4 linked regions of the Lonchura striata genome follow. Each later gene encodes a partner of the first gene's protein in a complex. Links are inferred from orthologs where the notes say so. Each region holds a gene or a part of one and is shown on either strand. Other genes may lie near its edges. The genes, in order: SART3, CCNT1, USP15 and USP4.

Region 1 (7,627 bases):
GAGCCGCTGGACAGCGGCCGGCAGCTCCAGGCGGACATCCTGGCTGCTGCCCAGAACCTCAAATCCCCCCACAAGGCACCGCTGGCCAACGGGGCCCAGGCCGAACAGAATTCCCCTCAGGAGGAGGAGAAGGAGGAAGAGGAGGAAGGGAAGAAGTTGGGGGATGAGCAAGCCAAGCCCCCTGCTCAAAGTCCAGGCGTGGAGGAAGTGGCGAGCGCAGGAAGCAAGGAGATGCCTGATGCATCCCAGGATGGCTGCCAGGCTCCCTCTGGAATCTGAGGCAGGGACACAGTCCCGGGCAAGCCTGAGGAGCTGCTGGCTTGGGACTCATGATGGACACGGTGGGTCAGGCTCCGTACGTACGTGGTGGCTCAAGGAAGCCCCGATGAAGATCCCATTCCCTCCCAGCTCCCCCGACCCTGGTGCTGATGGGATGCTCGTGGGGGGGGATTTGCCAGCTGGTGGTTTTCCCCAGCACTGGAACGCCATCAGCCCCAGCTCCTGCTGCCCAAGGGGCTTCTCCCACCCCAGGCACTGGGGGTGTGTGCATCCCCCCAGCTGCAGCTCTGCCCCCACTGTGCCACCAGCTTCCTCCCAAATGTTATTTCAATCAGCAGCAACAGCCTGGTCCATGCCAGGCTCCTGGCTGGGAGCCGAGTCCCTCTGGGAGAAGGGATGGGACCAGGGCTGGGGGTCTGTAGGACATGGGTCAGCTTTGCCCATGGCCACCCAAGGGAAAGAGGGATGAGGATTTAGGACAAGGACCCTTCTTTCCACCCCAGAGCCCAGCTGGATTTTTGCCTCACTTCCTGAACCTTTCAGCTAGAAATAAACATTTCCTCCGCACAGCTCCTCTCCTGTGTGTCTCTGCAGCCGTGGGGTGGCCAGGGGACCGTCCCTGTGTCCTTGTGCTCCTCCAGGGGCACAGCTGGATTGCACTCCAGGGGCACTGGAGCCCTGGGCAGGGTGTTATCAGTCCCCACATCAGCACATCACGTGCCCTTCCAGGAAACCTTTATCTCGCACCCACAGCTGTGGGCTGAGGAGGGGCTGTGGGGACTCAGCCGTGGCCCTGGGGTGCAGCTGCTGCAGTGGGAACAGCAGGGAGACCTGCAAGGTGAGTGAAGCTGTGCTGCCTCAAAAGCAGCACGTCCCTGTATCCCTGAACCTCCTGTATCCCTGGGTTTTATCCCATTATGTCCTTGCCTCAGGACAACCTTCCCTTGGGAAGAGAGTGCCAGCACAAAGAGCGGGTTTTGCCCCAAAGCAGACGTGAATGTGTGAAGTTTCCCTGATTTTGTTTTTAACTGGGCAATAGCAGGATTGTTCCATGAGGGAGAGGCACATTCCTCGCTGCTGGAGGGTGCCAGCTGAGGAATCACAAGAGGGACCTTGTGAATGACATACAGCAATGTGTGACCTCTGTGTTAAAAATTACAAATATTGTGCCCAGACAGAGCAGAATGAGACTTTTTTTTTTTTAAAGTGTGGTTTTAAATGTTTAACAACACCCTCGGCATGAAAAATGGGAAGTGAGGTGTCTTGTTGTGGGTTAGAAGGTTAAAAAGTGAAGTCTGCCAATGTGTTGTCTGCTTGGTTTGGAAATACTCCTCCAGAAAAGAGGAACTCTGGGAGCTCCCCATCAGCTCTGCATTCCAGCTCTGCTATTCCCCACCGAGCTTCCAGTCTCCTTAGAGAATCTTGGAGTGGTTTGGGTAGGAAGGGATCTTAAAGGTCATCCAGTTGCAAACCCCTTCCTTGGGCAGGGACACCTTCCTCTAGCCAAGGGTTTACAGCTGTAAGAGTGAGTGAAGAAGTGAAATTCTTAAGAGAAAACACCCCAAAATTCAGGCTCAGTTCCTCAAACAAGAGCTTCAAAAATTAAGTGGCGACAGGATGGGAGCAGAGACCACCAGTGTCTCCTGGTCACTTTTCCCTTTGGCACCTGCAAAGGTTCCCAGAATTCCAAGAGCAGGAATTTGCCCCCGGATTGCGAAACCAACCCTGACACAGCCGGAGCCAGGGGCGGCCACACAGCTCTCACACACACATCCAGACCAGGGCAACGCTTCCCACTAAATTCCATCAAATATTAGGCAAAACTAAACATCTTCCCAAAACAAAAATTGAAAGTGCAGCCCTTCCAGTACCGGACAGCGGGGTTTTGTCTCCGGAGCGGAGTCTTCCCGCGGCATTCCCAACGGGATGGGAGCCCCCATCCATGTGAGCACTACGGGGTGGCTGGACACCACAGGGACACGTTGTGCGTAACTTGTGCGTATCTTACAGCTTGAGTAGTGCACAGGGTCCTACAACAGCTCGGGAATTGCACTGCAGAGTGAGGAGGGAGGAGGGGAAGCTGCGCAGGCGGTTCAGGCATTGTCGGCTTTTTTGTCGGATTCTCTGTTTGGATCCTGCTTCAGTTTGTAATCGGCCAAGGCAGCCTTGATGGCGTCTTCAGCCAGCACTGCAAAGCAAAAAAAAAAGGATTTTAAGGAGAACTCAAAAGCTTTTAAAACAAAAGATGAAGTAGAAACAAAAGCAGGCAAGACCAGCAGCACAGGCTGATTTGAGGAGTAGAATCTGAATGGAATTCCTAAAATACTGAATTCCTCCAATTTCAATAGTGTAATTCAGAATCTGATTGTTTATTATCAGTCTGCTGAACCACAGACTCCAATATATCAAAGTGATCTGAAAATTCTTGAATTAACGCTGAAATCTGAACATGTTTTCTCTTAAGGACAACGTTGTGCAGAAACTGTTTGGAAAACAGCATCCAGAAGCATCTGTGCTATTTCCAGAGTATCTGAGATCCAGGGTTTTTACTTACTGGAGCAGTGCAGTTTGACAGGGGGAAGGCAGAGTTCCTTGGCAATATCTGTGTTCTTGATTTTCAGCGCTTCATCAACCTGAAACACAGGCAGAGGTGGTCATGGGCCTTGTTTGTGTTTGCTAAGAAGGTTTAATGCTCCAGAGCCAGCAGAATCCACAGGGGACATCAGCTCAGCTGCCCAGGGCAGTGAGGGATGTGGGAATTAAGGAATGTCTGACTGACATATCAGTGTCACACACTGTCCCCACTTGGCCTGTTTCAAGTCTGTTCATCCTCTACCAAAACACTGAGGTGCATTTACTGCTGGCAGAAATGATCTAAAGGTTCTCCGTAACTAAAATTTCTGCCATCAGCCTGGTTTTGCTCATTGCATAAGACAGAAGATAATTTCCTGGTGGAATTGTTTACTTGGGCACGTGCTCAGGAGTGGAGCTGCTGGGGAAAGGTTGGACTTGATGTTGCTATAGAGGGCTTTTCCAACCTTAATGGTTCTCTGATGGTTGTTGAAAAAGACAATTATTGCCCTACAAGTGAAGCCCTGACAGTGCTGGCAGTCACTTCTACAGCACAGAGTAATGCAGGGATTCCCTGGAGAGCACTTCCTACATGATCCCAACAGAAAACACAGCACGTGGGAAGCTCTGCAGCTTTCCCGGAGCTCCCTCACCGTTTTCCCTTTGACCCACTCCGTGGCCAGCGAGCTGGAGGCGATGGCTGAGCCGCAGCCGAAGGTTTTGAAGCGGGCATCCACGATCTTGCCATTCTCGTCCACTTCCACCTGCGGGAGCGTTTTGGGGACAAGTCAGTGCCCGGTTCAGCTCAGCCAGGTGTTCCCAGCCGGGCCCGCGGGGAGCGGGGCTGGCCCTGCCCCGGGCACAGGGTGGGCATGAGGGAAGCCCGTGCTGTCCCCTGAGGGGAGCTCTGACCCTCGAAACAGCCCCATGTGACCCCACCCAGGTGCCACCGGGTCCCCAAGGTCACCTGTAGCTTCATGACGTCGCCGCAGGCCGGGGCGCCCACCAGGCCGGTGCCCACGTTCTTGGCATTGCTGTCGAGGGAGCCGACGTTGCGCGGGTTCTCGTAGTGATCCACCACCTGCAAAGACACAGCGTCAGACAGGCTCGCCCCGCGCTTCCCCCATCCCTCCCCGTGTCACGCTCGCCCCTCACCTTCTTGTGGTAGCCCAGCGCGGCCGGGGCCGGCCCGGGCCGGGGCCGCAGCAGCGCCGCTCCCGCCGCCCTCAGCGCCGCCATCTTCACTGAGGGGCGGGGCGGTGGCGCCGCCCTTTTATAACCTCGGGCGGGCTGGCCACGCCCTCAGGTCTCGCCCAGGCCACGCCCCCTCGCCTCCGGAGCTCGCGTCTCCCCCCGGTCATGCGTTGGCCACGCAGGCGGCGGGAGCGCTGGCGGCCGCGCTGTGGCTAAGGTGATCAGTCAATAAATAAACGACAGAAACGGCGTTGCAGTCGCGCCAGGGTTCCCATCGCGACAGACGGCGGCGGCTGTGCGCACGCGGCGCCACACTCAACATGGCGGGCCGGCCGCGCCGCGCACGCCACGGACCCTCCCGGAGGCCCCCTGATGGCCACACAGCGGGGTGCCCGCGGTGCTGCCTGCGCCGCGGAGCAGAAGACAAAGGGTCGAGCCGTGGCCGCACTCGGCGCAGCGCTGCCCCGGTGCGCGGGCCAGTGCGGGGCTGGTGTCGGGCTGAGGATCCCGGTTCTTCCCGCCCGGTTCGGCCGGCGGTGGGGCGGAACTGCGGGACGGGCGGCGCGGGGGCAGCCGCGGCGGGCGGCGGAGCGCGGCGGGCGGCGAGCGGAGCTGCATAAGATGGCGGCGGCGGGAGCTGAGGCGGCGGCCGAGGAGGAGAAGCGGCTGCCGGAGGGAGACCCCGAGTCGGGCGGGGACTCGGATGATGAGGGCGACTCGGACTCGTCTGGGGACGGCGAGGATGAGGAGAAGGAGAACGAGGCCGAGATCCAGCGGCTGGAGGAGCAGGTGGGCCCGGCGGGGCAGCGGGTGTGGCGGGAACGGGGATAATCCGTGTCCGCCCGGGCGGTTTGGTGTCAGGGTGTGAATTTTTCTGCTCCTTGTGGGTTTCTTCCAGGTCGGGATATCCGGTGATTTAACGCCGTGAATGTCTGGAGTCCTAGATGGGAGTTGAGCAGCTTGAGATTCTTCTTTTTTTTTTTTTTTTTGGAAGGGAAATAAGAGGGAAGTGGAGTAGGCAGTTCGTGTTCATTCAGAAATGTGAGCCGGCTGCCCGCGTTTTTTTATTGCCTTTAAAGAAATGAAAGCGCAATTCTCTCTTTGAGCAGTGGCCGAGGGAGCGGCCGGGGCTATGTCTGGGGTTAGGTTAAATCTGAGTGTGAAAAACGCCAATTTTAAAGTTTTGAAAGTTTAATAATAATAAAATGTTTATGAAAATAGTAATACAATTAGAGTAATAAAGTTTAGAGTTAGGACAATTGCAAGACAATAAAAAGCAAAGAATTACGGACATCCAGATGCTCTCGGTCACTAAGTCACGAAAAGCATCCCTTGTGAACAAAGGAATAACCTTAAAAGCAACAGCCTGTTGTGTATTCATATTTCTCATACATGATGCATAAATTCCTTGCAAATTACGAACTCTTTTGGTTTTTGTCAACTTCTCCTTAATCCTGTTGGTTCCACAAAGACGGAGAGAAGGTGGAAGAATGTTTGTTTTTTCTGTTAAGGAGGCTGTATCTTTTTATGGGCCCTCTTCACTGACATCTCCGTGTGAAGAATTTCTTGATTATCTCATCTTCCTGCTTGAGCTTGTAACAAGTCCTACATCGCAGAATTTATGTTGTAACTTAAAGCTACATTTAACACACTACTTAAGAGAATTAATAGAATTAATACAGCATAACTTTCTGACGTTACACGTATAATATTCATTGTAGCATTTGCGAAAAGCCAATCATAAAATGTGCATTTTTCACATGAGGAACTCTGCCTTGCCTGGCTCTGTGATCACACCACGAGAATTGTGTGATTTATTTTCTGACTTTTTCACGTCCATCACTCAACAGGGCTTTTAAATTTTTTGTTGTTGTTTGTTAAAGCTTTCCATCAATGCTTTTGACTACAACTGTCACTTGGATCTGATCAAGCTGCTCCGGCAGGAGGGAGAGCTGGTGAAGCTGCGCAGAGCTCGGCAGAAGATGAGCGAGCTCTTCCCCCTCACTGAAGGTACAGAGCATCCTCTGCTCCCTGCAGGTGAAGCATCACCCGTGCAAGATGCTTCAGCAGTGAAATAAAATATTCAAGCCAAATTTTCAGCACCCTCGCTCCAGGGGGATGTGATCCAGAGCTCAGCAAACTCCTGGTCAAAATTTCTTAGGCAGGCAGCAAAGAAAATTCCCTGCTGGTGGAAATTGCGGGTGCTTGAAGTGGGGATTTTTGTTTTATTGCAGGGGCTGTGGGGTTTTATTCTTGGAAAGGGATGGGGAGGCCCTGGCAGAAGTTGCTTGGAGAAGTTGTGGCTGTTCTTGGATCTCTGGAAATGTCCCAGGCCAGGCTGGACAGGGCTTGGATCAACCCTGGGATAGTGGAAGTTGTCACTGCCCATGGCAGGGGATGGAATGGGATGATTTTCTAAGTCCTGAGAAATTCCAGCTTTTCTCTTTAGTAAAAATGTGCTTGTTCAGCACCAATTTAAAAGCTTTCTGCCTTTTATCTGAAATTAATTTGGAATTGTGGAGGCTAAAATTCCTCTCTTTGCCTTACTTCCCCTCCTTTGTTTTAATTGTTTTGCTAAAAACTCATCAAGTGGGTATAACGTGTTATTTCTGAATATTAATGATCTTCTTTAATTTTTTTTTCCTTCCAGAAATTTGGCTGGACTGGCTGAAGGATGAGATAAAAATGGCTTCAGAGATCTCTGAGAGAGAGAAGGTTTATGAGCTGTTTGAAAGAGCTGTCAAAGATTACATCTGTAAGTCATCAAAAAAAATGTTTTAAAATGGGTTTTGTTGCATCCAGATTTGGTTTTGTAGGGAAATCTATTGCTTCTGTTGTAACAAAGAAATTGGGTCAAAATTTCAAATTAATTTCTAAACTCTGAATGTGGAGTGATGCAAAGGAAGGATGTGATGTCTGGTCTCTCTATTTCTCAGGAGATGCTGTAGCTTAAAATTTTGGGGATAAATCCCTGAGCTCTTTGGGAATTGGGGTAAAGAGCTGGAAAAATGAAGCCTGAAGAAGTGGAGGGAATACGGAGGTAAATCCCCCCCAAAAGTTGCGTACGGAATGTCACATCAGTGACATTACCTGGTATTGGTGATCCCTGAGGAGGAAGGAATGGAGGTGAAGAAGTGAGGAATTATCCTCTGGATCTGCTGGACTTCATCTGGGGTTTGGAGGCACTTCTGGAACCCAGGGCAGTCCCAACCTGGGGGTCCCAAAATGGAATTTGGAGTTGGTGGGAATGGTGCCAGGCACTCAGTGCTGTTCTCCCACCTCTCCTTCACCTGCAGGACTCAGCTGCTTCAGGAGTTGCTGATCAGGGAAGTTCAGGAGTTTGGAAAGAGGAGTAGGAGGAGCTGCTTTAATCTGAATTATTCCAGAGTGTGACAGCTCTGTGGTCCCAGCTCAGGAAACAGGAATTTGCTGTTCAGGCATCTTGGTGCATCCCTACTGTGGTTTGTGTGGCAGAGGTGACAGGCAGGGCCAGTCCCTGTCAGCAAAACCACAGGAGTGACACCATTCAGAAGGAAACTGGGGCTGCTGCTGCTGAACCAGCAGCATAAATACAATCCCCAAA
Region 2 (6,896 bases), on another chromosome or scaffold:
TCCTGCCTCCTGAGACTGGGACTGACCCCCTCCCTGCACCCCAGGACTGGGGTGATAATGGGCCTTCCCATACTCAGACAAGATTGACTCCCCTCCCTGAACCGTTGTGGTTCTGGGACTGATCCTACTCCCTGGGATTGGGGTGACCATGGGATGGGAACTGTCTCTTCCCCTACTCCCTGGGATTAGGATGGCTGTGGGGCTGGAACCAAGCCCTTCCTTCCATCCTGAGACCAAAACTGACCCTTCCCTGCCCCCCAGAACTGGGGCAGTCATGGGACAGGGACCAGTCCAGGGCCAGGACCAACCCCGTCCCCACACCCTGACTTGAAGGTGGCCACAGGGCTGGGAGCAACCCTTTCCTTGCATGCCAGCACTGGGGTGACCATGGGGCTGGGACCAACCCCCACCCCACACTGTGCTGCTGGGGCAGCTGTGGGGTCCTGTGGCAGCTCCCAGCTGGGTGTGTGCCCACAGGCAACGGGTGAGAAAGAGGAGATGGAGGAGCTCCAGGCCTACAACCGGCGGCTGCTGCACAACATCCTGCCCAAGGACGTGGCCGCGCACTTTCTGGCACGGGAGCGGCGCAACGACGAACTCTACTACCAGTCCTGCGAGTGCGTGGCCGTCATGTTCGCCTCCATCAGCAACTTCTCTGAGTTCTATGTGGAGCTGGAAGCCAACAACGAGGGTGTGGAGTGTCTGCGGCTGCTCAACGAGATCATCGCCGACTTCGATGAGGTGCTGGGGCAGAGAAGGGGCAAGGGGGTGCATAGGGGTGAAGTGCACAGGGGTGGGGTGCAGTGGGCAGGGTTCGTGTGGTGCTGGAGAGGCTGTGGGGCAGCAGGGATGAGGCTGTGGTCCAGGGAATGTGGTCACAGGGTGCTGGAAAGGCAGTGGAGCAGTGGGGATGAGGTACAGGATGTATGTCATCCTTGGAGAAGGCATGGAGCAGCTTTCATGGAGCCACAGGAATGGATGCAGAGGCTGTAGAGCACTGTGGATAGAGTGCACAAGGATGAAGTACAGGAAGATGGGGTGTTGGAGAGGCTGTGCAACAGCAGATTTGGGGAAAGGGTGCAGGAGATGGAGTGCATGGGGTGCAGGAGAGGCTGTGGAGCACCATGAATGAGGTGCAGATGGGATGCACAAGATATAGAGAGCCTGCAGAGCACCATATTTGGACAGGGCGCAGGAGATGGTGTGCAGGGGGTGCTGGAGGGGCTGTGGAGCACCATGGAGGAGGCAGGGGATGTCATGGGGTGCTGGAGAGGCTGTGGAGCAGCATTTGTGGAGCCGCAGTGCAGGGTGCAGGAGGTGCTGGAAAACCCACGGAACAGCATTCACGGAGCCATGGGACGGGGTTGGGGTACCCTGTTGAGGTGCTGCGGGGGTGAGCCCAGCCTGTCCTCCCAGATCATCAGCGAGCAGAAGTACCGGCAGCTGGAGAAGATCAAGACCATTGGCAGCACCTACATGGCGGCATCGGGGCTCAACGCGGCCACCTACGACCGCGAGGGCCGGAGCCACATCGCGGCACTGGCCGACTACGCCATGCACCTCATGGAGCAGATGAAGTACATCAACGAGCACTCCTTCAACAACTTCCAGATGAAGATTGGTGAGCCCTTGCACACCCCTTGCACACGCCCCTCTGCACCTCCAGCCATCCCACACTGTTGTTCATGGCTTTGTGCTGGCGGCTCTTGCACCCCTTTTTTCCTCTCTCCCAATCACCTCTTCTTTTTCTCTTTCATACCCCATTTTCCTCTCTCACACCCCTTTTCTTTTTGCACCCCCTTTTCTCCCCTCCTGTCCTTTTTCCCCTCTTGTACCCCCTGTTCCCTCCCTCACCCCATCTTCCCCTCTCACCTGCCCTTTCCCCTCACCCCTCCTTCCAATCTCTCCCTCCTTTTCCAATTTCACCCACCACCCCTTCTTTTGCCCCCCTCACCTCTCTTTCACCCTTTTCCCCTCTCATCTCCCCTTTCCCCATCACCTCCTCTTTTCCCCCTCCACATTCCTCTTTTCCATGTCACTCTCTCCTTTTCCAAACTCACCCCCTCACTCCTCTTTTCCCCTTCCCTCTTCCCCAAGTGTGGGGGGTTCATCCCTGACTCTCAACCATGTACCCCCAGGCCTGAACATGGGCCCAGTGGTCGCAGGGGTCATCGGGGCTCGCAAGCCCCAGTACGACATTTGGGGCAACACCGTCAACGTCTCGAGCCGCATGGACAGCACTGGGGTCCCCGACCGCATCCAGGTGAGTCAGGGGTGGGAGGGACACAGGACACCTGCCCAGAGACCCCCCCTCCAGGTCTCCCCCTTTACCCCTGTGTCCCCCCTCCAGGTGACAACAGACTTGTACCAGGTGCTGGCTGCCAAGGGCTACGTGTTGGAGTGCCGGGGGCTGGTCAAGGTCAAGGGCAAGGGGGAGATGACCACCTACTTCCTCAATGCGGGCCCTGGGGGTAGTTAGGGGGGTCCCCATGGTGTCCCCCCCATGCCGGGGACACCCCCAGCCTGTGCCGAGCTCAGGCGAAAAAAAAAAGGAAAAATCCCCAAATACACATATTTAAAAAAAAAAAGGGAGAAATGGACACAAGGAGGTGGTTGGGGGGCGTGGGGAAGTAACCCTGTGCCCCCCTCTGTGGCTGTTTTAGGGGGTGTTTCCCAGCCCTGCACCGGGGTGTTTTTTGTGGGTGGGGGTCACGGTAACCCCCATCCCTTTGCAGAAACCCCACATGTGCCAAAGAGGGGAGATGGGGCCCCCCAGAAAAGGGACTGCGGGGGTTTTGGGGGCAGGGGGTCCCCAGCCCCCTCCATGTGCCAAATTGAAGTGCCGCCTGCGGGGGTGGGGAGGCGCAGGCCCAGCATCTCCGCAGCCCCCTCACCCCCCGGGGGTCCCAGCTCCCTCCGGGGGGACTGTGGCGGGGAGGGGGGGGAGGGTGGAAGACCCTCCCCCTTTTAAATGCAAAAAAAAAAAAAAACCCTAATGAAGTGACTTTTTTTCTTTTTTTTTTTTTTTTTTTTGAAGCAGTTTTGGGGTTGGGGGGGGGGCTCAGCCCGGGGGGAGTGGGGGGAGCACTCGCCCCCTCATCCCAGCACAGACCTGAGGTACTTTGTCCTTCGTGTGTACAGATAAATTATATATAAAACACTTTGGATACGAGCTGTGGCCTGGCTTGTGGGGCAGGGGGGCACACGGGGCTGCCGGTTGGGAGGGGGCCCGGGATCCTAAGAGGGGAAAACACCGAGACCCAGTGAGGAGGGGTCCCGGTGGGCGACACAGCGGAGTCCCGGTGGGGAGGGGAGGGTCCCGGCAAGGGAAAGAGGGTGGAAAATCGGTTGAGGGGGGAGTACAGGCAACGTCTTGGGGTGCGGGGGGCTGCGGGACCCCGGGAAAACCGGATCTTGGAGGGGTGGGGGGATCCCGCTGCTCCGTGATCCCGGGGGAGTGGCGGGGGTGGGGGGGACATACCGGAGGGGTCCATTGAGGTGCCGGTGAGGAGGGTGGAGTGCCACACCGGTATGCCGGGGTTCCTCGGGTGTCAGTGCGTAGAAGAGGGAGCCGAGGAGCTGGCGGTGGGGCCACAGGGGCCGCCCTAAGGTGCGGGGGCGTTGCGGGACCCCCCGAAAAACCGGAGCCCCTCACGGCGTGAGGGGAAGCGCGGCGGGGCGGGGCGGGGCCAGCCGTGAGGGGCGTGACCATTCCGCGAGGGGCGTGGTCAACCAATGAGGGGCGTGGGCTCTCTCAGGCCCCGCCCCTCCAACGTCCCTCCCTGCTTTGGAACGCTCGCGCCGCCAACGGCTCCCCCCCGCGCCCGCCCACCCGCCGCTTGACGTCATCGCGTCGCCGCGCTGCGTGCGCACGCCGCGTCCCCCGCGCGGGCGCAGAGCCGCCATGGAGGCCTCGGCGGGCGGCGGCGGCGGCGCCGGGCCCGGGCGGCGCTGGTACTTCAGCCGCGAGCAGCTGGAGCGGAGCCCATCCCGCCGCGCCGGCCTCGACCCCGACAAGGAGCTCTCGTACCGGCAGCAGGCGGCCAACCTGCTGCAAGACATGGGGCAGCGCCTCAACGTGTATCCGGCCCGCGCTAGGCCGCGCTAGGCCGCGGGTGGGAGCGGGGCGGGGCGGGGAGAGACGGGAGGGAGTGAGGGAGAGCCGGGAGGGGGTGAGGGGAGAACCGGGAGTGGGAAGAGCCGGGAGGGAGTGAGGGAGAGCCGGGAGGGGGTGAGGAGAGACCCGGGAGTGGAGGGAGCCGGGAGGGGGTGAGGGGAGGGCCGGGTCTTGTGAGGATCGAGGAGAGCGCGGCCCCGGCTCGGGGAGATCGCTGCTGGGGTGTCGGGAAGGCCCGGCCCGGCTCTCGGGGCGGGGAAAAGCCGCTTTTCCCGTTTTTGGCTCGGGAAATGGCGTTTCGGGCGCAGGGAAAGCTGTGCTGGCGTGTTGGAGAGGCTCGGGCAGGCCTGGCCGGCCCGGGAGAGGGGAGAGCTGTGCCGGGGTGCTTGGAAGGGAGCGGCAGGCCCGTCCGGGTGAGCCGTGCCCGCGTTGGGATCGAGGAGATTCTGGGAGCGGGGAGAGTCGAGCCCGTTTCGAGGTGGTGGAGATCCCGTTTCACGGGCAGGGAAAGCTGTGCTGGTGAGTCGGGAAGCCCCGGCCTAGGAGTGGGGAGAGCCTAGCCTCTTTTAGGATTGAGGAAATCCCAAAACGAGGGAGTGGGAAAAGCTGTGCTGGGGTGTTGTGAATGCTCGTCCCACAAGTGGCCAGGAAAGCCGAGCCTGTTTTAGGACCAAGGAGATCCCAAAAAGGATTTTGGGACCAAGGAGAGCCGTGCCAGGTTGTCAGGAAGGCTCGTCTGGGGAGCAGGGAGAGCAGAGCCTGTTTGGGGTCGAGGAGATCCCATTTTGGGAGCAGCGAGAGCTCTCCTGGCATGTTGTGAAGGCTCAGCTGGGTTGTGGAGCGCGGTGAGCCTGTTTTGGGCTTGAGGAGAGCTGTGCTGGGGTGCAGGGAGGGCCTGTCCTGTCCTGGTGCTGTTGGCATGTGGGGTCTGTCCCAGTGGCTCCCCTGGGCCTGTCTGGGGGTCTCTGTGCCTTTCCTTAACCCCGTTCCCAGCTCCCAGCTCACCATCAACACAGCCATCGTGTACATGCACCGCTTCTACATGGTGCAGTCCTTCACCCAGTTCCACAGGAATGTAAGTGCTGGGATTTGGGGTGCGGTGGGGTGCTGGGAACCCCCAGACCCACTCCTGCTGCTGCCTGGGAGGGGGACCCACCTTGGGAAGAGGTTTGGGAAGGGAGAGGGACCCTTTTGTCTCTCCTGGTGGTGGCCAGATTTGAACAGCCTTCATTCCCTGAAGGAATATTGAGAATCCACCTGGTTTGTTTGTTTTAATCTTGAATTTAGTGGCTTTTTAAGCAAACAGAGTGTTTTCCTCCACAGTCGGTGGTGCCAGCAGCGCTTTTCCTGGCAGCCAAGGTGGAAGAGCAGCCTCGGAAGCTGGAGCACGTCATCAAGGTGGCACATGCCTGTCTGCACCCCCAGGAGCCTCTGCTGGACACCAAGAGTGAGGTAAATGTGGGGAGGGAGCCTCAGGGTGTGCTGTAAGCGCTGGAGGCCCGAGGAGCAGGAATGGCACCTGGGATCCACCCTCCCGGGGTGCTCAGGGGCAGCTTCTCCATCCAGCTTCTCCTGCAGCAGAGAGATTTGGGCTTCCCCCCTTGTGTGCAAAGCCTCTTCTCTGCTGCACACCTGGATGCAGATGTGCTGTTTGCCTGTGTCCCTGGAGCACTGCCCAGGAGGGTGTGGAGCAGAGGAGCTCCACTGTGGGAGCAGTTTGTCCCAGCATCTGTCTCAGTGGGTTAAAAACGTTGCTGAGCCCTCATCTCTTCAGACAGCCCCTTTTACTTGCAGCTGAGCAGCGAGTCCTGCTGGAAGGGGCAGCTTTTTCCAGGGAATCCTACAGAAAATTAAAAAACAGCAGGAAAAGCGGGTGATTCCTGCACTGCTCGTGTGCTACCCTAGGAGTGTGGGGGACCAGCACCCAGGGCCCACCCAAACACTCTGATCCCTCTGTCTTAGAATCTCCAGATGGTTTGGGTTGGAAGGACCTTAAATCCCATCCCATTCCACCCACCTGCCACGGGCAGGGTCATTTTCCACTCGCCCAGCTTGCTCTGAGCTCCATCCAGCCTGGCCTCAAACATTTCCAGGGAATCTGTGCCAGTCCCCCCGTGCAGGGAGATTCCCATTTTTGCCCTGGAGAGAAGGGTGTTAGGAATGTGCAGGCTTGATCCGAGTGCCTCTCCATGAGTAACCTGCCTGTCCTCTCAACCCCAGGCTTACCTGCAACAAGCCCAAGACCTGGTCATTCTAGAGAGCATAATCCTACAGACCCTGGGTAAGTTCCTCGAAGCGGCCGGACTGCCACACCAATCCCAGAGCCAGGAGAATTCCACAGGCTGGAGAGCCTCACCCCTTCCACAGAGTCCACACAGCAAACCCCGTTTTTCAGCTCGACTCCTGTTTTAACATCAATTTTTCAGGTGTAACTTGTGCCAGGCTCAGTGCTGAGAGATTTAAGTGTGGTTTGTCACTTTGATTTTTTTTTTTCCCCTAAAAAAACCAGGATTTGTGCTGCTTTGGACACTGGCCCTTGTCCTGGGTTGTGCTTTCCAGCTCAATCATAGAATCATGGAATGGTTTGGGTTTGAAGGGACTTTAAAGACCATCCAGTTCCAGGCCATAATGCTCCAGTTCTGTTGCAGGAAGCAGTTTGTACTGAGAGATGTCTTAAAAAATTGGGTTAGAAGTGAATATTTTGATCAAATAATTCATTGGGGGAAAGTCCCCAGAACTCAAGAAACCAGGAGCATTTTCTGGGTGTTTCTGGAAGTAG
Region 3 (6,964 bases), on another chromosome or scaffold:
TTCCACCTGTCTGAAACAGGAGTTTATGGCTGCGTTCAGCCTCTGTGAATGAGGTAGGTGAGGCACAGACTGGATTAGAAACAGGATTCAAACCTACAGTGCAGTCATAGTTTTATGTCTGGGGCAGAAATGGGTATCTTAACTACATGCTATTTCTCCATCTATGAGACTGTCAAATTTATACTGCATTTTTCTTCTCTTTAAGAAGTGTATATTGTTATTTGCTTCTTTCCATCATTCAACTCATGCTTTCTTGGGCACCCCTAATTTTGTTACCTACTGCATTTTTGTTCCTGTATCTTCCCATGTCACCCTGATTCTTAAGACTTTCTAAAGCCTTCTTAGTTTACATTCTGTTGGAGAACTTTCCCACACAATTTCTGTAAACAACATATCGTTTACATTCTTTGATGGGGATGGAGAAACTTGATGTACTAGTGGTTTGTCCAATGTCTTTGGAGAGGTGGCCCATTCAGTCTCCAATCCAATGTCACCTTTGGGAAAATATAAAAGTCGGAGTCGGAGAATAAACTTTCTTCTTTACCTTGCAAATAGCAGGTGGCTCGCGTCGTGCTTTCACGTGTCCTATAGCGACATCCCCTCATGTTTACCTTACAGAAGCCCTGCTTTGTCTTGTTTAACTTTAGTCTACAGTTATTTCTGCTTTCTTGGGTGTTTAATTGAACTGTTTAAAGGAGGCTTGAAATTCCATCACTATTTAAAAATTACCAACTTCCATATAGGAAAAAAAAACGGATAGGGAACAAAACCAGCAGGTGGTGGCACTAGTAGTTGACTTTTTGCTCCACTTTGAATCCACAAAAATATATTCAGCTAATTAAATTAGCTCTATGAAGGTTTCCATTCAGATTTCTCAACCAAAAGTCAAATTATCTATGTTTTCCTAATGGTATGTGTGAACACTGCATTGAAAATACACTCATCGTATCTATTCTAGTATGTCAAACTCTGTGTCTGATGCAGCTTCCAACTGAAAAGGAAACTCACACAGCTACCAGTAGCTGTAAGCTCAACACAGACCACAGGGGAGGGGAATCTGAAGCTCTCATTTCCTCCTCCACAAATTCCCAAATGTGGTGTAGGTGGTTGTCCCAGTTCTCACCAGGACTGGGTTCATCTTACAGCAGGGAGGGGCATGGCCAGGACACAGGGTTTATACACTGCCACCTCACATCCTTGCCAGTGGTGGGGAAAGGAAACCTCTTCCTGGGACAAGGAGTATCAGGTCTGGCCAGCTCAGGGAGGCAGAGGGAGCAGTCGTGTGGCGCTGGCTCTGAGCTGGAGTGGTAGTGGTGGTGTGGCTGTGGCCAGGTCAAGCTCATGGTCAGCAGTTTTGCATGTGAGTCACTCTCTCTCTTTTGAACACTTCTGTTATTAACACTATTGCTGTTACTGTCCATTTTCTTAGCTCATTGCTGTTTCCAGTAAATTGTTCTTACCTCAACCATGATCTTCACCTTTTGGGCTTCCAATTCTTCTTTCCAGTCACGCTGCAGGAGAGATGGGGGAGTGGAAGGGAGAGCAAGTGAGCAGCATGTGGTTTGGAGTCACAGTGGGAGCACTAAACTTAGGAGTACCATGCTTAAACTATGGCAGTGGTTTTGAAAGTAAATAAAAAGTGGTGAAGTGAATTATTCTGTATTAAGCTGTGAATGAGACTTGCAGCTGTCTGTTATTTTTACAGAATTTATTGTGTACAGAAGTTTCTACTATTGAGATGCAGAGCTTCTCACATCGCCAAAAACCAAGCCATATTCTAAGATTTGTTAGCCAAGTCCTCTAATTTACTTGAAAACAAGAACTGAGAGTTTAAACTTCATGTTGTATTGGGAATCAATAGAATCATCAGTTTAGACATTTTGTTATCTGCAGCCCACTTGCTGAATCTGTGCTGCTATACACTGTATTAATTGCATCCTTTTTTAAGATCAAGGTTTAGAGCCACAAAAACCATGTTTACAAAAATTCATCCATTAGCAAGGAAGTCAGGCAAGGTGGAAGGCCTACTGATAGCTGGAAGGCGTGCCACCTCAGCTAGCTTTACAATATTCTGCATTCACTTCTATCACAAGCAGTAAGATATAAATCTGTATTAAAAATGCCTGGGTTTTATTAGAGAAGGTAGGTCATTCATCACAAGTTGCAGTGCTGTTTCTATTTACTAGGTGGTTTAAAATTTAAAGATTCTCAGGCACTGTCTAGGACTTGGAAATAATTCCTTGCCCACTGATAAAAGCTTTAAAAAAAACCCCAGATTTAATACTAACATTTATTTTCCAAGAATGTGAGTTAAGTTTCAGATACTGTTCAATTATGAAAAAGAATTGTTTCACATGAAGCACTGGTAATCCTAGAAAGAGTCTTACTCTTGTCTCTCCTTGGCAATTCTTAAAGCACTGCTTCAAATGGTATATGGTATGCTTTGCTGTCCCTATTTGTAGCACCTAATACCTGTCTAGTATCCGTTTCTGTACCACAAATAGATTGAACTCAGGAATCTGAGATCTTTTACTGAGTAACTGCAGTTCTGCAACACAATGCACAGACGCATGGGTGGCTCTAGGTGAACCTTCAGGCAAATTAAACTGTTGATGGTCCTGCTACACCCTGATGAACAATGAAGATGTTTTCCAGCACCGTGAATTGAGAAATATTTACCCAAATTTCCATGAAAATATAATTTCTGTATAAATTCAATTTTGGAACACAGATAACTTTCAGAGTGTAAAACACTATTCTTACCTGTTAAACCCTGGCGTGGGGTGGGAACTTGTCAAAGTTGTTTCTAAACTTGGAGATTATAACCAAGAAATTTATTCCTGAAGTGGCTGGAAACCTTCTTGTTGTTCAGTTAAGTTTTCTTTCATTAAATGTAGTCATTAGATCCACACCTTTCCCTAACATTTATGTTTTACTTCCTTCCCCCTCCTCCTCCTTCGGTATTTCACATTCCAGCTCCTGGAGAAGCCATGAATGTTATTGCCAGTCGCTCTGAACTCCTGGGAGTTCTTATATATTCAGTATGATTTTCGTATTATAATTTTGCCTTTATTTCCATATCATCATCCTCACGGATAATCCTAATAAAACTTACTTAGCTTTGTACTACCATGTCTGCGTAACAGCTTTCTATTTGTTTTGCAGTGCACATATCTAAATAGCACCTTTTAGTGCTGCTTGTAACAGCTGCATGCTACTATGTGCTAATTAGCTAATAATGCCTAATGCATTAACTGGCAGCCTGAGGTACGGTGCTGGTGTTCGTCACACAATGCGGCTGGCTGTAAAGACTTGGGCACAGGAAAGGCCGCAGGTATCCAGCTGCGGGAATTGCACTTTCACTAGCTAGATCTAAAAGAACAAACTCTCGTATCCAGGTGTTTGTAACCAGCACCCCAGCCCTAAATTCCCACACCATTTTGAGTCTTTGAAATCTCTATACAAACGGGAAGACAGAGAGAACCTGGTTATGTAACGTAATATGTGGATATGTGGCCTTTTTTTTTTTTTTTTTTTTTTTTTTTGGCGTGTGTGTGAAACGCCAAGCAACAGGTTGCGCTGTTTGTACAAGGTTCCGGCAAGAGCGACTGAAACAAACAAAGAAATTATCCCTTGGTTTGTGCGAAGGTCTGGAAAAGCTAATACGAGTCACACAGACGATTTGAACCCGCCACTGCATTTGCACAACAGCACAGAGGTATCAGCATATGATTTACGCTGACCCAAACCACTCATCCGGCAGCGAGGCGCAAGGGACCTAGTTGCGCACCCAGCGCTCCAATTAAGGCGCTGAGGGAAATGCCGCCCGCCCGTCCCTCCCGGGCTGGGGGGGACGGGACCGGGGGCGGGACGTGAGACCTCCCGGCCGCGAGGGGGCGCTGCCCCGCCCGGGCCCGCTCCGGCCCCCGCCCCGCGGCTTCTGGGAAGGGCGGGGCCGCGGCCGGTCCCTGCAGGCGTCACTCCCAGCATGCAGCGCGGCGCGCTCCTGCCCCTGCCGCCGCTGCCGCTGCCGGGCGGAGAAGATGGCGGAGGGAGGTGCGGCGGATCTGGAGACCCAGCGCACGGACGTCGCGGCGCTGCTCAAAACCGCCCTCCGCAAGGGCGACACCTGGTGAGGGAGGAGCGGGGGGGCTCGGGCGGACCGGCGCGGGCGGCGTCCCTCCGCCCCCGGGACCGCTTGGCTGCCGGAGGGACCGACCTCCTTCCCCTCGCCCCCCCCCAGGCGCTCCCGGGGGCGGCTCGGCGTCTGTGCCGCTGCCGCGGCAGAGGAGGCGGGCGGCAGGGGCAGGGAGGCAGAGCGGTACCGCCGCTGCCCGCCGCTCGGTTCCCGCAGCTCCTGCCAGGCGGGAGCGGCCGCCTGGGTGCGGCGGGGCCTCGGCCTGGCCCGGGCGGCGGGCAGGCACCGAGGTCAGCGCCCCGAGCGGAGGGCAGGGAGGGAGCGGCGCGGCTGCCGGGGCGCGCTGCCGGGTGGCAGCCCCGGATGGCGGGCCCGGAGCCCGCACGGGGCTTGTTTTGGCTGCGCGAGGAGTATTGAGGTGGGGGAGAAGAGCTCTGCTAGCAGGCGCTTCTTCCATTATCCAGGCTGAAATGGCCCCGGCTTCACCTTCACGTTATCAGAAATATCTTTGCTTTGGCCTAGGTGCCTTGTGCCCGTCCGTGGCTGTGACAAGCCTTGAGTTTAAATTTTACTGTGACTGGAATCGTGTTCATTTCCTAAGAAAGAGTCCCTGAGGGTGCAAACGGACCCTTATGATACCTTTTCAACAACGAACGTTTGAAAAATATGTTTTTCTGGTCAGTCTTGAAATATTCCTTAGTATGTCATACAGATTGTCAACAGAATAATCCACCGTAAAATAAGCACCTCTTTTTGGCGTGTATTTGGTAATTGGGCTTCTATAGTTGTAGTTCTATGAGGTTAGGAAATGGGGCTTTTTTTTTAGGAGGGGAGAAAATAAGGAACTGACACTTTTTCCACGACTCAATCTCTTCATCACATCCTGTGTGAAACTATCACCCAAAGACAAAGGTTGAAGCATTAACTTACAGAAAATTAACTATGAATACACAGAAGTAGAACTAGCCCGCCTCATTTCAGCTGTCATCACTCACTGTTCCAGTTCTATAAAAGACTATATTTAACAGTGTTGATACTGCAGCGTGTGTCAGAAGCATAAATTCTGATGCATTATTCAAATACTGCTGAGTATATGTTCAGTTTTGGCATAGGAGCACACTGCTCTTGAAACTGGAAAAAAAAGCTAGTAAAAGGAAATGAATTCACATAGTATTGTTGAAAATGACCAGCAGTAGTAAAAGCGTGCTCAGGCTTGATGTCTTTCAAGACTATTTTTTTAGGGTTCTATTAGGTAATTCCCAGTTACTAAAACAATGTTTCAAGCAATTAATACTCTTCAAAGTGATAGTATTTTTATGACTAGTTGACAGCATGACCGAAACAGTAAGTTTACTGTGCCGTTTACTTTTTTTAGTATTGATATTTTAATATAGAAGAATCAGTTATGTGGGAAAAGCTTCTAAATGTTCTGTGGAAGTATATCTAGCTGTGATTGACACTGATATAAGTCAAGTGTTTCAAAGCTGAATAAGCTGCAGCAGAGTCCCATTAAGTTTTACTCTTGAACTGTTAAATCGAGCTACATAAACGTTTATGCTTGTGCATTCGTAGGATTTATATTTTGACTGTGCAGCTATCTTTACAAATTAAATGGTAGGTTTAGTCCCAATGCTTTTATAGAGGTGTTTTGTAAATGGCTTTTTGATCTTTTGGGACATCAGTAAGGAAACAACAGTTAAGGTGCTGTAAATCATGGTTCAAAATTGCATTGATTTAGTAGTAAATACCGCTGAAAAAAATTTCAGGAGTGCTATACCAGCTTGTTCTGTTTGTGCTTTAAAACACTCAAATGCAGTCCTTTTAAAATGCTGGTTTGTACATGGAAAGTCTTTTCCATGCTCTTCAGAATTTAGAATGGGGAGAACAAAAAGCTACATATGGAAAGTATAAAGCTTTGGGGGTTTTCTCTTAAGAAAAAAGCAGCTAAAGAATAGGGCTAAAGAGAGGTAAATCTTAGAAGCATCTGTGAAGTAGCTGATAAATTTCCTTGTAAAGTTCTTCATGTACATTGCAGAGACAAAGAGATAAATTTGAGTTGAAATGCAACATTTTTAGAGTTAGATATTGGAGGAAGAATTGCTAGAGCTAGAAACCAGTTGAGCAGGTGGTTTAGTAAGCTGTGGAGTTTGTTACATTAGATGTTTTTAAGGGTAGCTTGGGAATAGTATGCATTAAGCTGTATTGCTTCAGTGGACAGACAAGGTTAGTGTCTTTTAACTGCTTCAGCTTCAGGGGCAAGATTTTGGGCTAGTTTGTCCCAGTGGTCTTTTTTGCATTCTTTATGGCCAGTTAATAAATTATTAAATTCTAAGAGTTTGAGGATTCTTCTATCTCTCCATTTAGCCTACTTTTCCAAACATACATTAAATAAACATCAGATTTTTCAGATTTTTCCTTTGTTCATCAGTTCTTTTGAATAATGTTGTCTACTTTTGTTAGTAAAGTCAGTATGAAAACTACAGTTTTGTTCTACAGAACTTGAAGTAATATAATTTTTACTTCTTACAATATTGTCCAAAGGATCTTCAGGTTCTGTGATTCTTTTGTTTTAAGAAAAGACAAAATGCTGCATTTCATTGTATGTCTCACAGTTTTAGGATCTGATACAATTACATCTCAGTATTTTGAAATTCTACTGGTGCTTGACAAGTGAGGAGAATTTATTGTCTGAGGAGATTTTATCTTCTCATTTAGAATGACAAAAAATATTGGTTGTTATAGCTGCAGGCAAATTTGAACTCACTAGATGTCTTCTGCTCTCAACTTGAAGAGCTGTTGATGTTCATCAGATTTTTAGGCACAGTA
Region 4 (7,901 bases), on another chromosome or scaffold:
CAAGATCCAGGACGACATTGAGTTGCTTCTGCAGAAGGTTGCCTAGAAAGTTGTGTGCCTTTTGTCCTTGCTGTGCACCTGGTTGTTTTTCTTTCAGGGAGCTGCTGCTTTGGCAGAAATCCCAATGTCTCGTGCAGATTTTGCTTGTGATGGTGCATCTTCCAAATCCTTGAAGTGTGCTTGATGTTCTCAAAAGTTGCACGGGAATGTTTGGGAAGGTATGTCAGGGCAAGCAGCTGTGGGTCTCAGTAGTTCACTGTGATTCTCTGAATAAAAAAATGTGTACTTTCTTTAAGACTGTGACTTGATATATCTGGGTGAGTTGGGTAAAACGTGGTGGGTCTGTTACCTGTTCCTCAGCCCATGTGGGTGCTCACAGGGGCAGACTTGGAGCACTCGAGCATGGCTGTGCAGTCAGGCTGAACTAAACCGAGGGCATGAGCTCTGCAAGCTGAATCAGTACCGTGTCCTGCCCCATGTGTAACAAGCCTGGCAGAGCAGGAGGGTGGCAGGAACAAACAGACCTTGCCCCACTGCTCACTGGACCTCCCATAAGGCTTCCACACAGAGGGAGCACGCTGGCACGTGGCCAGGGGTTGATTTTACACTGGCTGAATTCCAGTGTGGCTATCAACAGGCCACAACAGGATAATAACTGCTAGGGCAGGGAGATGAGCGATTCTGCAGCTTGGGGGGACCCAGACCAGGAGCAGCACCCACTGTCCCTCCCCTTGTCCCAGAGCCACTGCCCCCTCACTGGCTTTACCCCATTTTGCACCAGTGGTGGCCCACCACAGATTCTCACATGCCTGCCCAGTCCTCCATGAGGCCTGAAGCACCTTTGTGCATCCCCAGCACCTCACGATGCATGGAATCATGTGACAAACCAGTTTGTCCATGTTCCCAGTGCAATACCACCCCATTCAACACTTGGCCCATGGGAACTGTGCCTTGCCTCAGAGTGTCCTTGTTTCCCTTTGGGCAGGGGAATTGTATATGACACTCCCTAGTGCAAATGTGCCAGGAAATATTTCCTTTTTCTTTTCATTTCTTCCATAACAGTTTTTGAACTCCTGCCAACCATGGAGCTGAGAAGTACTTCATGAGAAATTGCTACAATTATACCAAATGATCTTGGAGGTCTTTCCTAATCTTAATGATTCTATGATTCAGTAATTCTGACATATTGGCCCTGCTCAGCAATCATGGTTTTACAGGCTGCTGTTAAATGACTGGAATTATGATTAGTTTCCCATGGGAAATCATGAGACTGTGCCAAATTTCACCTGCCATCCTGCCCAGTCACTCAACTGTTTCTACAGGAAAATTTTCACTCCTTCAATTGCTCTGTGAGCACATTTTCATTGCAAGCCACTCCTCACAAGGCCTTGTAGCACTGCATATAAACTTGGTGTGGGACTGAGGAGTCCTAACCCAGACTAAAAACTTGGGCTGTCCAAGGGAAGGCATAACACTTTCAAGCATTCATGCACTGTTTTCATAATAAAAACACTCAGGATTTGAGGGTTTGCTTGGTTTTTTGTGTTTTGTTTTGTTTCTTTTTTTCTTGTTTGTAGCTTTTCACTTCACAAATTCACAGTGGCTTTGTTACTGTACCTATATCCAAGGATCCCTTAAGGTTGAACAGAGACTGGGTAAACCTTCCAACCAGCACCACCCTGCTTGCTGCTACCCCCTGAGTCATTGAGCTTTGAACTGAGATTGCACAATCCTCACCGGGGGATTTCTAAAATTCCAGAACAGCTTCACAGAAAAAAACAGGATGTTTTCAGCAGCTACTGAAGCTTTGCAGCAGATGATGCATGATGTAGGGGATTATTTTTTCAGTTAGTTCTACTTCCCTCATTAAAGCAGGATGTTGAAATAGGTGGAGAGTACAGGGGATCATGAGCAGAAGAAACCTAGGGCACTGAAAATCTTTCTTAACGTGAGCTGTGGTACTTCCTCATTCCTGACTCACCAAGCCTGAGTGTTTGAGTGGGGCCTCCTCTGTTCCTAACCAGCCTCTGGCTCTGGCCAAGGCCCACAGCTACAGGGAGCAGAGCCCAACACCTGCTGCAGCTCCATTATGCCAAAAAAGGTCTCTCAGCAAGCCTGCTGGTCAGAAAGAAACCTTGCACCATGCTAATTCTGTGCCTATGGCCAAGGGATTTCTTTACCTCTGACTGCTGGGACCGTGCTAGCAGCATACCAAAGCAATAGGTCAAGAACAGTCCCAGCTATGCCAGAAGCAGTACAGTGACATGATTTCAGGACAAAAGTGAACCATGCCAGCAGGAAAATGAACAATCCCAGTGTAGGCACACCAGCAGGAACTCTGCAGCGTGGCTGAAAGCTGCCCAGCCTTGTTATTCCCAGTCTCATTTCAGCATTCCCTGGAGCAGCTGGCTCTGGGGTCCAGTGGGCTGCAGCAGAAGGCACTGGCTGGAGCTTCCTGGCAGTGACAAGGACAGTGGAGCACGGTCGCCACACAGGGTCTCACACCCAAACCTTGGCTGGTGTTGTGCTGAGAGGAGGTGAACATTTCACCACAGGCAGCAGCTCTGTGCTGAGGGGAGGCATGAAGAATCCCAGGCAATTCCTCAGGGATTATAAATCAACCCATTTTTATTTCTGTAATTCCAGAGAGAAACAGACTGACTCAGAGGGCAGCCTTAAAATAAATACTACTTTAGCACAATTGGCTGCTTCTGTGGCATGAGGATGTTGTCCTTTCAACATCTCCCGTCTGTCACATACACACTCCTACATTACACTTTAATTGCAAACACTTAATCCCTCTGTTAGTCTTCCTGTTTTTCCATTCTTCTGCACATCAAAGTTTCATACATTCTCTCCTTCCTAGAAAGTGTTTGTCCCCTACTTGTCCCTCCTCCCAGTGATTCTTTCTCCCATTAGCTGTTGATAGTTGCCACCAACTTCTTAAATACTTCAACAAGTTCAAATATTTGAAGCTGTCAGGAGTGTTAACTAGTTCCAAGAAAAATTATCCTTCCTGGTCCTTTCCCCGTCTCCCAGATTCCCTAGTGTTCTGCCCACCAAACCCTGGGCTATCTGCTGAAATCCTGGCTGATGAGAAGTGTCTACTCAACAGAAGTGCCATCAGTCTGAGTCTGAGATCTTTCTTCTTCAGCCTGTACAACGTTCTTTCAGCTATTTAAATTCCCTTTCTCCTGGGCAGCTTTCAGTCACTGTGCTTGATCATTGCCATCATAAGGCAGGCTGGGAACACCTGCCTCCAGTCCTGTGGTACTTGAGGGAGTTTTGCTTCTGTCAGTGCCACTTTCACACCCAACAGAATGAGCTGGAGATCAGGGCAGAAGTCAAGGGCTGAAAGTGCTTGAGGAGCCAGGAGAACACAGACACCTCTGTCTACAATAAAACTGGAACAATGTAATTTTCTTGCACTGAATCAGAAAGGCCTGAATTAAACAATTTAATTGTTTACCACACTTTCTATGAGGAGTCAGAAATTCATTAGCAGAGTGAGGTCAGCCACACAAGCACTATCTCAGAATAGCTGACTCATTTTAAAAACACACCCAGCCTTGCCATAATAGGGTGTGTTAGAGCCCCAAGGGGCCCTGCCCTCGGAGAAAAACTACAGTAACAACACTCAACTCATACTGGAAGGAGAAAATGGTCCTTTCAGTGTTAACTGAATGGACTTGCCCTGCTGTCAGGAAGATAAAAGGCCTTTATCACATTACCCTGGTTGCTGCAGCAGCGCCAGGCTGGCAGAGCCCACCTGCCCATGGTGCTGCCAGAACGCTCCTGGCACAGGCAGTCACAGCTCCCCCACATCACCCCTGCCTTTTTTACACATAAAGGGATTTCTTTGGTATGTTATGGACAAATTCAATTGGGGAGGCCAATTATAGATAAATCAATTAATGAGAATTGTTAACAAGAATTAAGTTAACAAGAATTAAGCAAGCGGCATCACAGCACCCCCACATGACCCCTGCCCTTTTTACACATAAAGTAAAGGGATTTCTTTGGTACATCCATTTAAGGCAAATTGTTTTTTAATTCTTCCCAAGACCCCTCCCTCTCAAGGACAGGCTCCCTGACAGCACAGGACATGCTGCTCGAGGGATCAATGCCAGTATCTCCTGGAGCAGTTCTCTCCTGAGACACCACCCAAACCCCTGTGCACAGTCGCTCATACACACCCGTTCTCCCGTTCATTCCTGTAACGATTTGAAGTCCAAGGCCTTCGTCAGTGTGCTCCACGTGAGAAAATGGAGCGTCTAAAACTGAAACCACAGTCCAACCAAATGGTTCTGCCACCTGTTTTGTCCGAGAGAGAAAAATACAATTTTTTTGAAGAATTAAACGTTTCAGTGTGGGTTCGATCTTCACTGAGCCATAATTCAGGGAGGAGATTCTTGCTGAGAAAGTGAAGTACACAGTGTCTGAAGCCCAGAGCAGCGGGCTGGCAGCAGCCACCCAGGGCAGGTTTGGGGAGGGCTGGGCTGGTGCTGCTGCAGAGGCGGAAGGGAGCGAAGCGTTCCCAGAAATGCTTTTAGCTGAGGATTTAAAGAGGCTGGCCCGGACGCCCTCTCGACTACGAAGCCCCCTTGGGACGAGGTCCATGCCCGCGGGGGGAGTGCCCCGCTCCCCGGGCTCCCCCTGCAGGCCCGTAGGGACGCTCAGCGCAGCGGGCGCCCCACGCCCTGAGCGCCCTCACGGTGCCGCCGCAAGATGGCGGCCGCCGCCATAGCGCGCGCGGCCCCGCCCACCTCGTCACGGCGCGCGCGCGGGCGGGGCGGGCCCCTCTCACTCGCCCGGCGCGTGCCCGCCCGCGCGCTCGCGCGCGCTCCGACCTCCGCCCGCGCCGGGTCTCGCGCACGGACATGGCGGCGGCCGCGGCCGGCGGGGAGCGGGCCCGGCCGGACCCGGCGGAGCAGCGGGCCGAGCTGGGGCCGCTCCTGGCCACGGCCCTCCGGCCCGGCGAGTCCTGGTGAGCTCACCCGCGCCTCCCCTCCCTCCCCGTCCCCCTCCCCTGCGGGCGGCGGGGCCTGCGGGCCGGGCCGCGCCGCCGCTGAGGGGCCGCGCCGGGCGGTGCCGTGTGTTGCAGGTACCTGGTGGAGAGCCGGTGGTTCAAGCAGTGGAAGAAGTATGTGGGCTTCGACAACTGGGACATGTTCGGCGCCGGCGATCCCAACCTCTTCCCGGGTCCCGTCGACAACGCTGGCTTATTCCCGGGGCCCATCGACAACTCGGGCCTGTTCGGCGGTGAGTGCTCGGGCAACGGGCCGGGCCCGGCTCGGCCGCGGAACTTCCCCGCGCTGCTTTCGGTTTCGGGCGCTGCAGGGGACAGGCGGCCGCGCCGCCCCGAACGCGGGGGGACTGGCCGGGCTCTGCCTCCCTTGGAGCGCTGGCGTTCCTTGGTTCCTGGCAGTGCATGTGTGAGTCTGGAGAGGAAAAGGTGATGTTTGATGCCCTGCTCTCTGCCGTCTGTCTCCTTTTTAGATCCACAAACTCAGAGTTTGAAAGAACACCTAATTGATGAGCTGGATTACGTGCTGGTGCCCACCGAAGCCTGGAACAAACTAGTAGCGTGGTATGGCTGTATAGACGGCCAGCAGCCTATTGTGAGGAAAGTAAGTACTGCTGAATCAACTTCTCCTCCTCTTGGTTTCGTTTTTTGATCTCCCTTGAGCTTAAACGATTTATTTCGCCAAATATCAGCTAAGATGGGATTCTCACTAGCTCTTTGGAGATAATAAAGTGATATCTTTTTGCCTTGTCTGAAAGAACAATTTGCCTGTATTTCAGCCAAAATGCTTGAATATTCAGGGGTTCTGAGTTGATGGTTTATTTGGGGAAAGAACGCTGAACCTTGTTCAGGTTATGAGTCTTTGGACTAATACGGTGCTTTTATATTGCATGGAATAGTTTGTACTTTGTGAACAAGTGTAAGTTGTTGGTCAAACTAGTTTATCTTCCAGGACGGAATGAGTCTTCGAGTACAGATGAATTTAGGGGCTTCCTCTGGAGTGTAAGGTGATTTTTGTTTTCTCTTCCAAAATTGTGTGATTCTAAAATCTTTATAAAGAGATGGATATATGGTTTTGTTCTGTAAGTCATATTTTGGTTGATAAACATAGTCAGATATGCATTCTGAATACATAACCTGTTCTGCAGGGTGAAATTGGCAAGTGTTTGTTTTTGGTTTTTTTCTTGGTTGGTTGGTTTTTTGGAATGTGTATAGGTAAAAGTTTTTTTGCTTTTATTTTAATTTTAGCCAATTGTACTGACTAAATTGAGCAATGCCAGTCTGTGGGATTCATTAAAAAACTAATCACTACCCCAAGTGTTGTTATAATGTACAGGATTAACATCACTTATGTTTAAGCAGCACTATGTTATAAGTAAGGATTACTTCAAGGTGTGCAAGACCTAGCAAAGTGTGGCATCAGAAGGGAAGTAAAATCAGGAAGTGCTGGAACGTTGTCATTCAGTGTGGGCTATAAACTGTGTGTTGTAAGAAATTCTGATGTCTTCAGGACTGGTGAGTTAACCCAGGATCACCAGGTTACCTCAGGTTGACTCAGTAGACAGAACTCCCATGGAAGCAGGAACTAGGAGAGGAGAAAACAATTATAGCATGTAAAGGAGATGTGGTTTTAGAGAAACAGGTAACATCTTGAGGAATTGCAAGTCTGTGTTGAGAGGGAGAACTGGTACTGCTAGTGATCAGTGCCTCTCCAAGTGAGGGAGCTTTCCTTGGTGAGCTGGCTGATTGCTTTCATGAAACCTGGCACACTCCCTCTGAAAATTTGAAAGTTGACAAGAGACTTGGGAGCTATCAGGGAAACACTTGGGCTTAACTGCGTGAGCCTTCTTTGTTGTGATATCTGATGCTGCTTTCAGTGGTGCAGTGACCAAGGGGGTAGAGCTCAGACCTTGTGCTGGTTTACAGACCTAACGTGCCAGACTATTCTGGGTCTAGTTAAGAGTAAATTTTTCAAATTTTGAATTGTTGTGAAACTGTCAGTCTCTGCTGTTAACCTGGTAACTGTATGGGGTTTTTATATGTAAGAAGATGCTAAAATATAGCAGAATAGTAGGTTTGTGGGATGTTACAGCCTCTTGCAAAAATCCAGTAGGTCAGTGAGACACAGAAGCTGCACTGCTGCACCTGAGTAGGATGTGGGCAGGATCTGGTTACGGTGTTCCCCAGATAGCATTAGAAGTCAAGCACTTAAACTTGTGGTCCTTGAGTGCTTTAAGATTTTCCTAAAGCTGCATCAGCTGTAATTCATGTATTAAAATATCCATAAAAGTAGGATCTGGGAAACGATTTTCAGGCATCTTTATGGTTTTATAAGATATTTCTTCCATCCCTATGTTTGATGATCAGAGGCAAGTACAGGAGGATTAGACTAGATTTATTTGTGGTTCAGGTTTCTTTTGACAGTCTCAAACCATATTTTTGGGCAGTCATCTATAGAGTCCTATGGGAAGGTTTATTATGTGCTTCCTTAGCAGCAGAGTTGTGCTGAGATTGCTGTCCAGTGGCATGACATGAGTTATACTTTGGCAGAGAACAAGGAAGCTGGTCAGATGCAGTTTAAAAGACATCTGCAGGTGATTAGAGACTCCTTTCCTCTGTCCTAATGGACACAATGATCTGATCAGGAACTTCTTGGAAAGAGTTCTTTTTATTTCTGAACATGGCTCTTGTTTGTTTCTAACTACAGAATACTGGAGAACAGGAAGTCAAGTTTAGTGACATTTATTCTGAAAAATGAAAGGAAAACTTTTGTCTTGGTTTCTTTTCTTAAAAAGAAGTCTGCTCGTCAAGAAGCTGTTTAAACAGGGGGCTTTACTTTCTGTTGTAATAGCAAAGTACTGAAGATCTTTCCAAA

What was found.
Region 2: SART3 (region 1) and CCNT1 share a complex: the UniProt entries of both Homo sapiens proteins name them as parts of the 7SK snRNP complex. The link is inferred for Lonchura striata from reciprocal best matches to the Homo sapiens genes SART3 and CCNT1.
Region 3: the proteins of SART3 (region 1) and USP15 are in contact, whole or in part, in a crystal structure (PDB 5JJW), measured with the Homo sapiens proteins. The link is inferred for Lonchura striata from reciprocal best matches to the Homo sapiens genes SART3 and USP15. Residues at the interface, in NP_055521.1 of Homo sapiens: Ser438, Ser439, Lys440, Glu443, Gln490, Arg493, Glu494, Trp496, Asp497, Met500, Thr501, Ala505, Trp511, Tyr514, Arg533, Cys537; in NP_001239007.1 of Homo sapiens: Ser23, Leu24, Asp48, Trp50, Gly121, Met122, Phe123, Val124, Lys125, His126, Lys128.
Region 4: the proteins of SART3 (region 1) and USP4 are in contact, whole or in part, in a crystal structure (PDB 5CTR), measured with the Homo sapiens proteins. The link is inferred for Lonchura striata from reciprocal best matches to the Homo sapiens genes SART3 and USP4. Residues at the interface, in NP_055521.1 of Homo sapiens: Asp437, Ser438, Ser439, Lys440, Gln490, Arg493, Glu494, Trp496, Asp497, Met500, Thr501, Ala505, Trp511, Tyr514, Lys529, Arg533, Cys537; in NP_003354.2 of Homo sapiens: Met24, Thr27, Leu28, Ser53, Trp54, Glu123, Gly125, Leu126, Phe127, Val128, Lys129, His130, Cys131, Lys132.

Annotation. Positions count from the first base shown.
Region 1 is NC_134620.1:11,419,830-11,427,456, forward strand, and holds the start of SART3 (spliceosome associated factor 3, U4/U6 recycling protein), read left to right. Parts: upstream 1-4,618; 5' UTR 4,619-4,665; coding exon 4,666-4,833; intron 4,834-5,927; coding exon 5,928-6,054; intron 6,055-6,694; coding exon 6,695-6,799; intron 6,800-7,627. Other genes in the region: iron-sulfur cluster assembly enzyme ISCU, read right to left, coding at 2,373-2,467, 2,834-2,912, 3,504-3,614, 3,818-3,931, 4,006-4,089. UniProt on the Homo sapiens protein: U6 snRNP-binding protein that functions as a recycling factor of the splicing machinery. Promotes the initial reassembly of U4 and U6 snRNPs following their ejection from the spliceosome during its maturation.
Region 2 is NC_134629.1:6,118,671-6,125,566, forward strand, and holds the start of CCNT1 (cyclin-T1), read left to right. Parts: upstream 1-3,894; 5' UTR 3,895-3,904; coding exon 3,905-4,080; intron 4,081-5,110; coding exon 5,111-5,192; intron 5,193-5,440; coding exon 5,441-5,569; intron 5,570-6,337; coding exon 6,338-6,398; intron 6,399-6,896. Other genes in the region: ADCY6 (adenylate cyclase type 6), read left to right, coding at 478-741, 1,417-1,621, 2,139-2,263, 2,351-2,479. UniProt on the Homo sapiens protein: Regulatory subunit of the cyclin-dependent kinase pair (CDK9/cyclin-T1) complex, also called positive transcription elongation factor B (P-TEFb), which facilitates the transition from abortive to productive elongation by phosphorylating the CTD (C-terminal domain) of the large subunit of RNA polymerase II (RNA Pol II).
Region 3 is NC_134607.1:42,076,336-42,083,299, forward strand, and holds the start of USP15 (ubiquitin carboxyl-terminal hydrolase 15), read left to right. Parts: upstream 1-3,959; 5' UTR 3,960-4,043; coding exon 4,044-4,132; intron 4,133-6,964. UniProt on the Homo sapiens protein: Hydrolase that removes conjugated ubiquitin from target proteins and regulates various pathways such as the TGF-beta receptor signaling, NF-kappa-B and RNF41/NRDP1-PRKN pathways.
Region 4 is NC_134614.1:10,434,047-10,441,947, forward strand, and holds the start of USP4 (ubiquitin carboxyl-terminal hydrolase 4), read left to right. Parts: upstream 1-4,892; 5' UTR 4,893-4,987; intron 4,988-5,104; 5' UTR 5,105-5,168; coding exon 5,169-5,262; intron 5,263-5,499; coding exon 5,500-5,630; intron 5,631-7,901.